3 linked regions of the Caenorhabditis elegans genome follow. The protein of the gene in region 2 purifies or fractionates together with the protein of the main gene of each other region. This does not show direct contact. Each region holds a gene or a part of one and is shown on either strand. Other genes may lie near its edges.

Region 1 (4,541 bases), on a different chromosome or scaffold from region 2:
CGAAAAATCGGTGTTTGCACACAATACACCGCATTTTACGACATTTTGTACTTGCTTTGTTTTCTTGTGTTTTTCACAGATTTTTCCCGTGTTTTCTTATTAAAACTGATAAATAAATATTTTTGTTAATGCTAAAATAATTTCCAGATGAAAAAATTGTGAATTCAGTCGGCAAGTAGCGGTAAAAGTGGTCAATGTAATATGATGGATTACGGGAATAAAAAACCAAACTTTTTCCCAAACATGATACATATGCTGTTTAGATGCTAAAAGTACCTGATTTTCAAAACGAGACCGCTGAAAAAGTTTTGAGATTTTCAAAATTCAACTTTTTTTGTGAAAAAGTCGAGATTTTGGCACAAAATGTTGAATTATGAAAATCTCAAAACTTTTTCAGCGGTCTCGTTATGAAAATCAGGTACTTTTAGCATCTAAACAGCATATGTATCATGTTTGGGAAAAAGTTTGGGTTTTTTATTCCCGTAATCCATCATATTACATTGACCACTTTTACCGCTACTTGCCGACTGAACTCACAATTTTTTCACTTGGAAATTGTTTTAGCATCTGCAAAAAATATTTATTTATTAGTTTTGATAAGAAAAAACGGAAAAAAATCGGTGAAAACGAAAGAAAACACACAGAAAACAAAGCAAGATAAATGGCCGCTGAAATTTGTCGGGGACTCGGCCATGGCCTAGAAACCACTTTTCCTCGTCCCTCGTGAGGAAAAAGTTGCAGTGTATCAAGTGGACGATATCCAAACACTTCGGTTTCCAGTCTGGAGTTTTTTTTGTTCTCCATGGAGCTTCACGTATCTTTTAAATAGAAAAAAAAACGATTTTCATCGCAAAAATAGTTCCAAATCGAGGTATACCCCTTTAATGAGCACAGTAACCCATTCTCCGTTATTTTGCAATTTTCATTGATTACTTTCGAATTATTTATTAAAAAGTAACTACATTAGTACATACGAAGCGAATCAAACGATTATTATAAATTCATGCAAAGAATCTAAGCCTTGTCGCATTGAGACTTCCAATCGGAGAAGGACTGAAAATGTTAATTTGTTACAATAATCTAACCTATTTTTCCAACTTACGAATTGTTTTGCATAGGCGAAGAATTGTTCCAATGGAATGAATCCATCCTTGTCAGCCAATTTCTTAAGTTTTGGAGTAAGTTCAGCTGGATAGATGACATGATCATCGATTGGGTTAGGATCATGGTTGAGAAGACGGACAGCTGGTTTTGGAAGACGTTTAAATTCAACTACGAATCCAGCGGAGGTGGTCAGTTCATCCTTCACGTATCCCATCAATTTCATGACGGAAAGAGTGATTTCGGTGTGCTGGAATTTGAAATTTGTATAATTTTTTCACAGGAAATAGAGGTTTCACATTAATATTGACAGGTTGTAAATAACTTACAGAAGCGTATCCAATAACTTGTGGTCCCTTTCCAGCGTTAGCATCAGCAACCTTATCAATCAAATTCTGAAGCCAATATCCAGCCATCAAGTTTCCGCATGGTCCGTACTCTGCACAAGCGTTCTGATGAACTTCAGCAAATTCCAGAATCTTAGCCTTCAGCTTCTCGAAAGTGTATCCTTTCAACTTTGGAGCCTTAATCCATGATGGATATTCAGCCTTGTAGAGATCAATTTCAATGAGATTATCGGCCAAATCAGCAGCTTTTCCCAGATTCTCCATGTTCCATTTGGTGTTGTCAGAGAAGTATTTGAGCTCAGCTGCGTTGCTTGTCTTGAGCTTCTTGAGGAATGGAAGGGAATCCTTGTCGATTGGGCCCCAGACTGTAAAATCAGGATTTATATGTTCACATTATACAAGTACAACCGTACCCTTATCATTTCCTTTGCATTCCTTAACAGCGTACATTCTAAGAAGTGGATCATCAATGGCATATGGGACTGGAGACCAATGATCGTACCATTTCTTATCCCAATCCCCCCATTGTTCTGGATCGTGGAGAGCAGCAGTGACAGTCTAAAAATTTACTGTTTCAATGTGGCAACTTATAGTTAGATAAATTTTGATTATTTTACTTTGAATTCGGAATTCGCCACATACCTGAAGAGTCATTTGGCATCTGTTGGCAGAACTGGAGTAATATTTAACTTGAGATGAGTTGTAGTTACGAGAGATCAAATTTCCAATAAAGCTTCTCAATTCCTTTCCCAATCCAAGTCCTTGACGCTTTCCGAACTGAAATATTACTAGATTTCATTTAGAAACTCCAATAATTAATACTTACTGAAGTCAATTCAGTATTTCCCTCATGTCCCCAGCTTCTTGGATTCTCTTGGAGAAAAACTTCTGGATGACGGTTTCCGTGACGAGTTCCGAACAGCACAAGAACCGAGTTCTTATCAATTGCAACAGACTTCTTTGGGAGAAGATGGGCGGCTGAAGTAGCCAAGATCAAGGCAGAAAATAGTAGAAGGTTCATACCTGAAAATATAATTTCTTTGTCTGAGGTGGCGTAAAATACAACGGTAAAGTTGAAGAAACATATCACTTTTTAATGAGAGCAAACCAAGAAGTATGAAAACTGATAAAGCTTCTCATGACTAGACTACCTACATGCCTATTCCACAAACGTTGCAGGTCCGCAAGAAGGCATTTACTGTTTAGACTAAAAGGTAGGAGATTGTAGAATGATAGATTCAGGTTGAAAAATACATATTCTGAGAGCTTTTCTAGACAAATTTAAAATTCTGGTAATCAGTTAATTACACAAGAACACTGAATTGCCAGTGAACTTCCATCTTACCCGGCGTTTATATACTGTTTTTGTTTTGTTTGAAACGATAACAAACTGATAAGATAACACGACAGAACACAATTCAATAAAATTGAATTAAAAGAAGATATGACCCGATTTGAAATAAAAAGTATCTTCAGGTGTTTTGTTACCGTTTCATTGAAACAGAATGAACAAAAAACCGTTAGTTGTTGGTCTAATAGAGAAACCATTAAACACGGAACTAATAATTTTATTAAAAAAATCTCAAATGAAATATCACGTTAGTTCAGAAGCCTGCGCCGGCCTCGTACCTTCCCGCGTGCTCAATGATCTGCGAACCCTTGCCGTACAACTTTGGTATTCGTCAGGTTCAACTGAAAGGCACAAGGCAGGCGCGATAGAAGTGGGCCTACAAATCAGTCACTATTTTTAAATTCAAGCTGTAAAATAATTACTTTAACATGCATCCATGGCACATTTTGGAAACTGTTACTAACAGAAAATTTCAAAATTTTACTTCTATCCTGAAACCGATCGAGCACTAGATGCTAACTTTATCTTAAAATTACCTTTTTTCAAGTTACAAAAAATAATTCTTTTAACTTTTCTATCTATGTACCTAGGATAGCAATACTTGAGTACTGTAAATCTAAATCACATGCTACCTAGTACGATCTTGTCATTAAAGGATTTCTCAAGGCCGTGACAAGAGACCAGACGTGACAATACCAAAATATCATGATAAAAATATAGATCACAAACAGAAAGGATGTTTGGATGTACGTTCTCAACATTTTGTGCCATTCTTTTATACTCTGTTAGGTACGACCAAACTTCAATTCAATTTGGCCTCGAAATTGTCATGGAAGGGAGAAATGAATTGAAAATGAGACAATTTTAAATGAATGAAAGAAAAAGATGAAATACACAAAACACATAGAAAACAGACAAACATGAAGAAGATCAATTGTTTATTTGAACTCAAAAACTCCATGTTTCACCATCTCATCTTCAATTCAATTTCTTCCAATTGAATACACCAATTACTCTTTTTTTCTCTGTTTCACAAAACCACAAAGATCGCGAGAAAACTTTAGTTCCGGTTTTTCTCCGAGAATCTGCGAGAGTTCAAGGTGAGTTCAAATGACCGTGAATTGCGCCGTGGCAATTTGAATTTCAATTAGACAGAATTTTTGAGACTTCATGAGCAGAAGGCTGAAGTAAAGTTTGCAGAGAATACGGTAGGATTTGTCTAGTATATATGCCTCCCGGGTTCCTATCGCGATGGCTCCATTGTGCTAATTGAGGCATTCGCGAGTTCGTAGGGCTCTAACATAATTTTCGGATCTTTGGTGCCTTCTGGAAGGGCTACACCAAAAGCTAATTGGAAGAATTACTACTGTAGAAAACTGTAGAAAATTTGGTTAAAATTACAAAGGGGCTAATGAAAAACACTTATTATTGGATAATTGTATTAAAATTGGGAAGGGCTGTTGTTTAGAAACGACTGACAAATATTGAAAATCAAGTAAACAAATTATTTCTTCTAGGCAGCCTACATCTGCCTCATGCCTATACACAAGAACATGTAAACCATTAGTTTCATCTCACAGTTTAATCTCTAACGAAATAATTTTAAAGATTTAATTTTAAAAATAAGAATAGTACTTCAAATCTGAATAAATCTACCTTGTCCAAACAGAAATGTTCACTCTAAACGGGATGAAGATTGTAGTAGGCACATATGTATGTAGGCAGGAAAACGTGCCTGTGTT
Region 2 (3,643 bases):
TTAATGTTCTTAACTTGGTGAAAATTAGATGATCAATGTTACTTTCAGTTAACAGAAATCAAATTGTCCGACTCTACAGCCGATTTTTATCACTTGATAAAAAAGGTTTGTTGCGTATTTCTTTTTATCATAAAAATAATAAAAAAACATTTCAGGACAGGGATTTCTTTCACGAGACGATTTTTTGAATGTTCCCGAGTTGGCTGTGAATCCTCTTGGTGATCGAATCGTAGATGCCTTTTTCACATTAGCTTCTTCAAACGGTGACAACGAAGAGCAACAGTTGAACTTTCGTCAATTTGTTCGAATTCTTGCACACTTTCAACCGATTTCAAGAGTAAAGAAAAATGCTCTCAACTCGAGAAAAGACAAATTGCTTTGTAAGATTATTCTTTCAAGTTTTTAATTATTTAATTTTATTTCAGTTGCGTTCAAAATGTACGATTTAAATAAAAACGACTACATCACACGTGAAGAATTCAAAGTCATTCTGAACAGTATGGTTGGTGCCAATATAACTTCTGATCAACTCGACAAGATTGCTGATCGAACGATTGAGGAAGCTGATGCAGATCGTGATGGAAAAATTTCTTTTGATGAGTTTTGTCGAGCAATGGAAAAAACTGATATTGAGGAGAAGATGTCGATTCGATTCCTAAACTAAGCTTTTACAAGAAATTCCCCTGCTAGTCTCGTTTTCAGTTTGCCATTTTCTCTTACCTGTACATAATTTTTGTCACTTCTCACCATTTTGCCTTGAAGACACAAACTATCTCAGAAGTTGTTTATCAATTTTCGTGTGAAATCAAAATTGACAAAGAAAAATGAATGTTTTATCAGTTTTATCATTGATTAATAGTTTTCAAACATTTACAAAGGAGCACATTGTCCCTTGCAGATGGCTCCTTGACGATCCTTTTGAACTGCCTTCAAATCATCTCCAACCTTGTAAGTGACTCTTCCAATTCCATCCAAAGTGACTTTTACGGTAGCAACTGGCTTTCCAGCATCATCCCAAGTAGTAATCTCCCAATCCTTGAGTCCACATTCATCGGCTTTCTGTTGGAAGGTGTTCTTCTGAAGCTTCTTCAAATAGCTCCATCTGAAAAAGAAAACATAATTTTTCTATTGATGTCCTCCGAACAAACCTTTCAGATTTCTTTCCATTGCTGGCAACAATTTGTCCGCTGAATTTCTTGTCTGTGTCCGATTTCAAATGAACAATGATGTCACATGCGAGAGCGACAGATAAAAAGAACAGAAGAATAACTGCGACACGCATTCTAAAAAAGTATACTGTAGACTACAATGGTTCTATTGATATGGCAAAATATCAGCAACGTTGGTGTTCTCACAAAAGAAATACATTGGAAAGGTACAAAGAATGGAGGAAGAGAAATTTTGTTATTATAGAAAATATTTTGATTGTTCAACTGTTGGTAATTCAACAGTAAAAAGGATAAAAAGAAACATGAGAACGAATAATTGGGTATAAACAGGTAGTAGTCGGTCTATCGGTCGCAGTGGTGAATGGGTAGTCTGCCACAGCGGCCGAATTGCGATCGATACGGGCTGTCCTTGAGAGCCTTGGTGTTGTTACACAAAACAACGATAAAGTAAATCAAAAAGAAGAAGACAAATGAATGAAGCATTGAATCAGTTTTGTTTTCAAACAAACACCGACTAAACGAAAAAGCAATTGGTGTGTCATTTGTGAATTTTGTTTTGACGACCACATTCTCACATTTTCAAGGATCGGCACTGATATCTGTATTCATACTAAGTATACCATGTAGGAGCACAAGAGCCTACAGACGTAGGCATGCGTAACTGGTGACATCCTAACACTACGTTCACACGATGTCAATTAACATTTGGGCTAGTAAAGAAGGCATAGTTGGACTAGGTGATCTTCGGGAAGCTACTCATGCATCGCATGCACACATCTTAGCACCTACATGTTGTATCGACATTTTAAGTATTTTATCAATTTAACAATGCAAAAGAATGAGCACCCCGCGACTGAAAGAAAATGAACTGTCATTAAAAGTTAATATTACGACATAGAAAAACTTCAAAATAAAACAATTTTTTACGATTGTTCTAGTCGATTTGTATTTCTATTAATTATATCTAAGCATCTGAACATGGGCTCGAACATGCTAGAAATTTCTAGAATTTGGCAATTTACCAATAAAAACATAAGTAATTTAATACGATATTCGACGATGTAGGCTCGAACCTAAACGATCATTTTATGTATATTTTGAACTTTTAAATACTGTTCCCGAGTATTTCTTTTCCAAATTTCATATTCAACACAATCTTCCATGTTTAATCAGATTTCACAATTTAAAGGTTAACGCGTTACAGTATTCCATGAAGCCGAATATTGAAAACTGGTATATGTTCTCTTATTGTTGTCACAAAAATCACAAAAATAAAGTACACCACGTGTGTGACTCTAGTTTTTCTAATCTTTTGGTGTTTTGTTGTTGTTCGGTTACAGTAGAGAGATAGACTAGTTTTTGAGAGTTAGACAAAAATTTTATGCCAGTATAAAAAATTTAATTGTCTTATGAAAACAGTAATGGAAGAATGATATTTTGTCTGAAGATGATAATTTAACTTCAGGAAAGGGTACAAAAGAGAGAAATGAGCTCTTCACTTTGAAATACTGTTGTGCCAAAAGTGTTGATCAGAATTCTGATCCTCCGACGGTTATCTAATAAATATCTAGTTTTATTCATTTACTTCCTTGGTCCTGATTTCAACAATGTTTTGAAAATAAATCGAATGAACTGAAGATCTTATTTCAGGTCTTAAAACCAAATTTTCGGGGATCTGTACATGACTAATCTACAAAGTAAATTAGTTGCCATAGAATCTGACGTCATTCTAAATTATTGAGTCACGATCCAGCATCCGATTATTCAAATTCAAGTTTCAACGAACTGGTCTTGAAACTCCGCACGAATATTTGTGGGCTGATTCAAATACGAATAATGTGTTTTTTTCCGATTAAACTACTATTATTGTGACATAATTTTTACATCATCATTGTAAATAAACGGTGTATATTTTTGGTTTACAATTATTTCTATTTATCGGGATTTAGATTGTCCCATTGATTTCAAGTTGTGGTGCAAAAAGATTATAATGGAGTTCCATTGCCATTCAACTCATTTCCTCTTTATTTTTAACTGCATGCTAATGAATTTGTCATTCTGTTTTTTCGAAGGATATCAAATGAATAGAAAACCTTTTATAGACTCTGCTTCATCTCGCAGTTCTTCGTTTTCTGCATAAATGAATTGATCAAACACAAATAAATAATTTAGAGAATACAACTGAAGACAAAATAAATGCAGGTAATAAAATGGATACACGAAATAATGCTTATGTATAAACATTAGGAAACATAATTAAAACTGCAACATGATGCTTGAAATTCAAAAAATATGGAAAATATGACAAAGAACAAAAAAAATAGCTATGGCACCAAAAGAAAAAAGAGATCGAGGAGCTGGCTAGTATTGGTAGATCAGGTAAGAATGGTGGAGGAAGATCAAATGATACGGAGATTTTAAGAGATTTTGGCACAGTTGAAGCCTGTGAGCATTTGAACAGATGGGCTATTAGC
Region 3 (5,054 bases), 1.1 Mb from region 2:
TTTTGATTAAAAATGGGTGAGTTATGTATAAAAACCGAAAAATAGCCTCAGTTAATACAACCTCAAGGGTGGTTCTAATCAGGGGATCTCAGCTGACACGCATGAAAAGCATCACAGGCGGGAATTGAACTCGGGTGTGTCGTGTCCCGAGGCAACACGATTGCCACTTGGCCACAAGTGAAACCACCGAAATTGCATAGAGGGTGGCAGACAAGAGTGCGGTGAATGTGAGAGAAGGAAAGAGATTGCACGGTAAAGGGAAAAAATGTGACAGATGGTTTTCTATCTTGGTTTTATGGGATTCTAACAAAATGCCTCGGATTAATCTTTATGGTCAGATGTGCTACCCAACATGCGAAGGAATACGTTTTACGAGATGAGATTAAGGAGACCGCTACAGGATTCGTATTACCGTTCCGAGCGTTTCGGTTTAAACAGGGAGAGGCTGTCAAGATTGAATGTGAGGTGAAGTACTGTGAAAAGTGTAAAAAGGTGAGATTTTTTGTTAATATTAAAAATTATTTTGGTAATATAATCTTCAACAATTTGTTGGACAACGCAACTATCAATATTGTTAGTTTTTTGTTCAAAAGTTCTAATCAACTCTCTACGGCATTGTTCCTAAAATCTGAGTTTATTCATACTATTTTCAGGCAAATTGTCCATCACGTAACCGCCGATTTACAACTTTTGATGAGAGTGAGGACACAACGTTAACTGGAAATGAAGATACTGAAAAAGTCCATGCCGAGCTTCTCGTTCAAACAATTGTAGACTCAACCCAATTAGATGGTTATTGCCTTCAATTGAACCGTTGGATTGCACTAATTTCCTTAACTGTAATTATAATTTCAATTCAATTCCTACTCGTGATCTATATTTGTCTCAGAAATCGTTTCCTCGATACAAAGAATATCTGATATGGGTGTTTGGTTTTTTGATTTTTTATTTGTTTAATGTCTTTATGTTCGGTAAGAACATTCTCATAATAAAGATAATAATACATGAATTGTCATATTTACACATTTAAAATTTCAGCAGCACAATTGACTTTCACTGGGAACCACGTACTTGATGGATTTTTGAACCTTAGAATATACTCTCCCGGTGCAACAAGTTTCTCGCCAAACTCTGGTAACTGAAAATACATTTTAGTGCAAATTCAACAAAACAGGGAAGAAACAAACCTTAAGACTTGTAACTGTGATCTTCGGCCAGATAGCCATCTCTTTACCAGCGTCTCGTTTAACAATCTCGAAGTCAACGTCTCCACTGGTTGTGTAATTCCAAACCAGTTTACCTTCCGTCGTAGTTTTTCTGTGAAAAAGGACATTATTTTCTCGGAATTGTTTCAGAAGGTGTGAATGGTTTTGTAGTTTTTGCACAAAATTTTCACGATTCTGTGCGAATCGGCAATTTTTGGAAATTTTCTCTCATGAAAATTATATGAAATGAAAACATTTTAATAAATAAATACTCTAACATAAAAAAATTTAATTGTAAGTAACATCAAATAAAATTCGATTTCCTCTAAATTTATAACTTACATGATATACTCTGATGTCTGGAATGCTTTTATCGAGTAACTCTTTCCTTTCGGTGCCTTGAGAATCCCGTTTTTAACCCAAATATACTCTTGTGGTTTATAATCTTCTTTGGTAATTCTCTTTGGTTGTTTACATGCTCCTTCTGGTGGATCTGCATATCCAGTATCATCACGATATGTTCCTCCATATTCGACTGGAATTGCCTCCGGCTCCAAATATTTTTTCAAATCTTCCACGTTGCTCAAGAAAGCTAACTTTTCTACTGTATTAGGGTCCACGAGTCGTTTAGTGACTTGCCACATGACGGATATAATTCCAGGTGGATTGATAAGAAGAAGCTTGCACAACTAAAATATTGAATTTCTCGTTTTGTTCAAGTAAAAACTGAAATTATACACTCACGTGTTCGCTGAAATATTCTGCCCAAACTTGCACCACGAGCCGTGCCAACTGTGCAGGTCCTGACAACGGATTCATGAAATCCATTAGATTTAATCCTTTCAAATCCAGAATACAGACGACTGAAGATGTTTTTCCTGTCTTTCTTTCAGTGTGTGCCATTGCTCTTGAAAAATTTTCTTGGAGCATAAAGTATGAGTGAAGAACATAGCTCAATGGCATCACTTTTAAAATTTCTTTGATATCAGTTCCTTCCATTTTTTGTACAAACACATGAAGATTTTTTGATGTGACTTCATAGTTAAGTTGAGAAATATGGAATCTCTGAAAAACAACAAAAGGTGTAATTCTATCCAGTGTTGGGAAGTCTCACCTCAAAACAATCCTTTCCAATATTTACGGTTGTAAAAATATCGAGATCGTTGATTTTTTCATATCCCATTAGTTTACGATGTTCGAATAACTGTATAATTTTCTGGCGTGTCTTTTCCACATCTCCATTATTTGCATTCAAAAATCTGGCAAAGAAGAATGGAGAATCGATTTTATCAGGTACGGATGGGATTGAAACTCTGCAAAAATTACTTTCTCAAAAATGGTTTTTCACAAAAATGTGCTGTAAAATGTTTTCAGGTTAAATGTTTTCAGGTGTTGTTGTTGGAAATTGGCGTCCAAAACCGAAATTTTTTTTTTGCTTTTTATTACTCTCAAATCCTCAATAGATTTATCGGAATGCAAGTCAACAATTTGAAAATGTCAAAAACTAGTAGCCGTTGCCCAAATTAAATGTCAAATTCACTGGAACGGAAAATTGTCAACTAAAAATTAAAAAAAAACTCACTTTAATTTTTCAGCCTTTTCCAAAATGTCTGCACTGAATTTCTTCGCTGTGATCATATCGTCAATCATTTTTGAATTTGTTGTTTCACGAGTGATTTCTTCGACAAAAAACGTGTATATAGCAAGGGACAGTCTAAAAAATAAATCTGGCTGTGGGAGGCGGTCTCCTAAAAAATGAAAAAAAGTGATTGATGGAGACAGGTTTTCAGATTAATATGCAGGAAAAGAAAGTCGTGCTGTTTTAACTGTTATCAGCAGTCATCACCAATTGATTATGTGATTATACATATAATAGTTATGTTATCATTTTATCACTAGAAGGGGCGAACACAATGGAAAAAAATGAGGACTTGATCAGTAGTGATATGACGTGTTAAATACAAGACATTCGGCGAAGGATGGTCGAGAGAAAATAATTTCGTGTTTTGTGATTTTAGAAAATTTTGGAAAAAAAGCGAAGATGCCAAACCTCAAGGTTGAATGGAACCTAGAGAGAAAGGTTGAAAAAAAGTGAGACCGAAAAAGGAACAATTTTAGATTATACTAGTAGTGCGCGGTCTCCTATAGTCGGTGGTTAGTAAGAGAGAAGTAAACAGGAATAGAGATGGCAGCAAGATGGTCAACAAAGGGAAATAGAGAGGTGTCGTTTAATACGGTAGTCACACATACACATAAAAGTTGAAGCCCCGGCTTGTAAAGAATGAATTGTTGTAAGAAATAGTTGAAGAGAATGAGCGTACAATTGTATTCAATGGGTGGAGACAATTTCAGATTGTTTTTCAGATTGTTGAATACCTTGTGATGAGGAAGGGATAGGTTTAATTGAAAAAAAGAATCAGGTGGAAAAAGGGTAAAGGAATAGAGAATGATGAACGTACAAAAATTTGGAAAATGAATTTGAAGTATTACACAAGTGGGGAATATTAAAAAATAGGAGGAAAATCATTTTTAAAACAATTATAAATTCGTATTTATGAATCGCGGGATTATTTAATCCACATAATATACATTTGAAGATAAGAGTGGATAAGATTGGATGAACCGTTCGGTATTTTCAGGTAGCTTATCAAAAAACATTTATTCAGTTATACGGCTGCTGGAAATTTTTAGTTGATGATTAAAGTAGACGTTTCATGCTTTGGTAATTTTTTTCTGCGTGATATTTTATTATCTCCATGTACTAGTTGTTACAATAATATCTCTACGTCTTTAACAACATCCCTGTCCAAATTATATCGTTTGTATCTGAAAAAATGTACCGGAAATTACCACACATCCATCTCATTTAAAGATATCCATTACTCAAGAGAATTTGTCCTTCTATAGCCCAATATTTTCTTCTTCATTGTGATGTCGTGTATGAACAAATCTGAAACCATTTCCAAACATCTCATTCAAAGCTCCACAGGGTATTCTCTTGTCCGCACCCTTGCTCAACCACAAAAATATAAGCATTTATGAAAAATTGGCGTATTTTCGTCTCCCTTTTCCATCTCTTCAAGGGGTTTTCACCACTTTCACCCAGTGCCACCACCAACAGAATTCGCCACTCACTTTTTTTCTTTTTTCTTTCTTCAATTGCCTCATTTATTCAAGGATGAGCACATACTTATGCTGGCGTTTTTGAATAAAAATTGAGCAAAAATGAAGAAGAATTCCGCATATTGGAAGAAGAGGAAGAAGAAGACTCCAAATGTTTAGTTTTGATGACTTGGAGTGAGAAATAAAAAAGAAAATTTTTAATTGTTTTGTTACTAAGTGTTAAGTCTCAGGATCTGTAATTTTTGTTGGAATCCATTACAATTTAAAATAGATTTAATATATTTTTCAGTTCTATTTCAATTTATTACTGATTTAGGACAAATTCGCTCACTAGGATAGTATTTCAGCTCATAATTAATGCTCCGAATGAAATCTATGGCAAGCTACAAAATTTTTTCTTAATCTAGTTGTTCCAGATTTGCAAATTTCTCTAAATGGCCTAGTAATTATCTGTCTTTCACAATCAGTCACTTTTCATCTTTTTGGTTTTATCTTCAAACGTTTTCATCTAGGACATTCTTTGAGTTCGACTCGTCTCCAAATAATTCTACAAAAGAAGTCCCATTGAGATACTTCAAAATAGTCCACTTTAAGTCTTTTATGTCTCTTTTTCTCTACATTTATGCTTTTCCCGAATAAGTATGCAGCGTGCATCATAACCCATTAAGTATCCGGAATTTGGCAAAATTTAGGATTTTCAGGAATGTTTCTTCCATGACTCAGTAT

What was found. The genes of interacting proteins can lie anywhere in the genome.
Region 1: the proteins of ZK856.7 (region 2) and acp-6 fractionate together in Caenorhabditis elegans (co-fractionation; one large-scale study listed by BioGRID). This does not show direct contact.
Region 3: the proteins of ZK856.7 (region 2) and T03F7.7 fractionate together in Caenorhabditis elegans (co-fractionation; one large-scale study listed by BioGRID). This does not show direct contact.

Annotation. Positions count from the first base shown.
Region 1 is NC_003282.8:6,423,669-6,428,209, forward strand, and holds acp-6 (Histidine phosphatase family protein), read right to left. Parts: upstream 2,472-4,541; 5' UTR 2,470-2,471; coding exon 2,275-2,469; intron 2,226-2,274; coding exon 2,091-2,225; exon of another isoform or gene 2,021-2,090; intron 2,007-2,020; coding exon 1,862-2,006; intron 1,814-1,861; coding exon 1,431-1,813; intron 1,352-1,430; coding exon 1,103-1,351; intron 1,054-1,102; coding exon 1,015-1,053; 3' UTR 932-1,014; downstream 1-931.
Region 2 is NC_003283.11:10,199,738-10,203,380, reverse strand, and holds ZK856.7 (uncharacterized protein), read right to left. Parts: upstream 1,284-3,643; 5' UTR 1,283-1,283; coding exon 1,149-1,282; intron 1,103-1,148; coding exon 871-1,102; 3' UTR 828-870; downstream 1-827. Other genes in the region: chpf-1 (EF-hand domain-containing protein), read left to right, coding at 49-105, 156-380, 426-664.
Region 3 is NC_003283.11:11,309,323-11,314,376, reverse strand, and holds T03F7.7 (CRAL-TRIO domain-containing protein), read right to left. Parts: upstream 2,956-5,054; 5' UTR 2,856-2,955; coding exon 2,788-2,855; intron 2,519-2,787; coding exon 2,320-2,518; intron 2,271-2,319; coding exon 1,950-2,270; intron 1,895-1,949; coding exon 1,548-1,894; intron 1,318-1,547; coding exon 1,188-1,317; intron 1,139-1,187; coding exon 1,019-1,138; 3' UTR 932-1,018; downstream 1-931. Other genes in the region: cutl-18 (CUTiclin-Like), read left to right, coding at 1-16, 339-492, 654-920.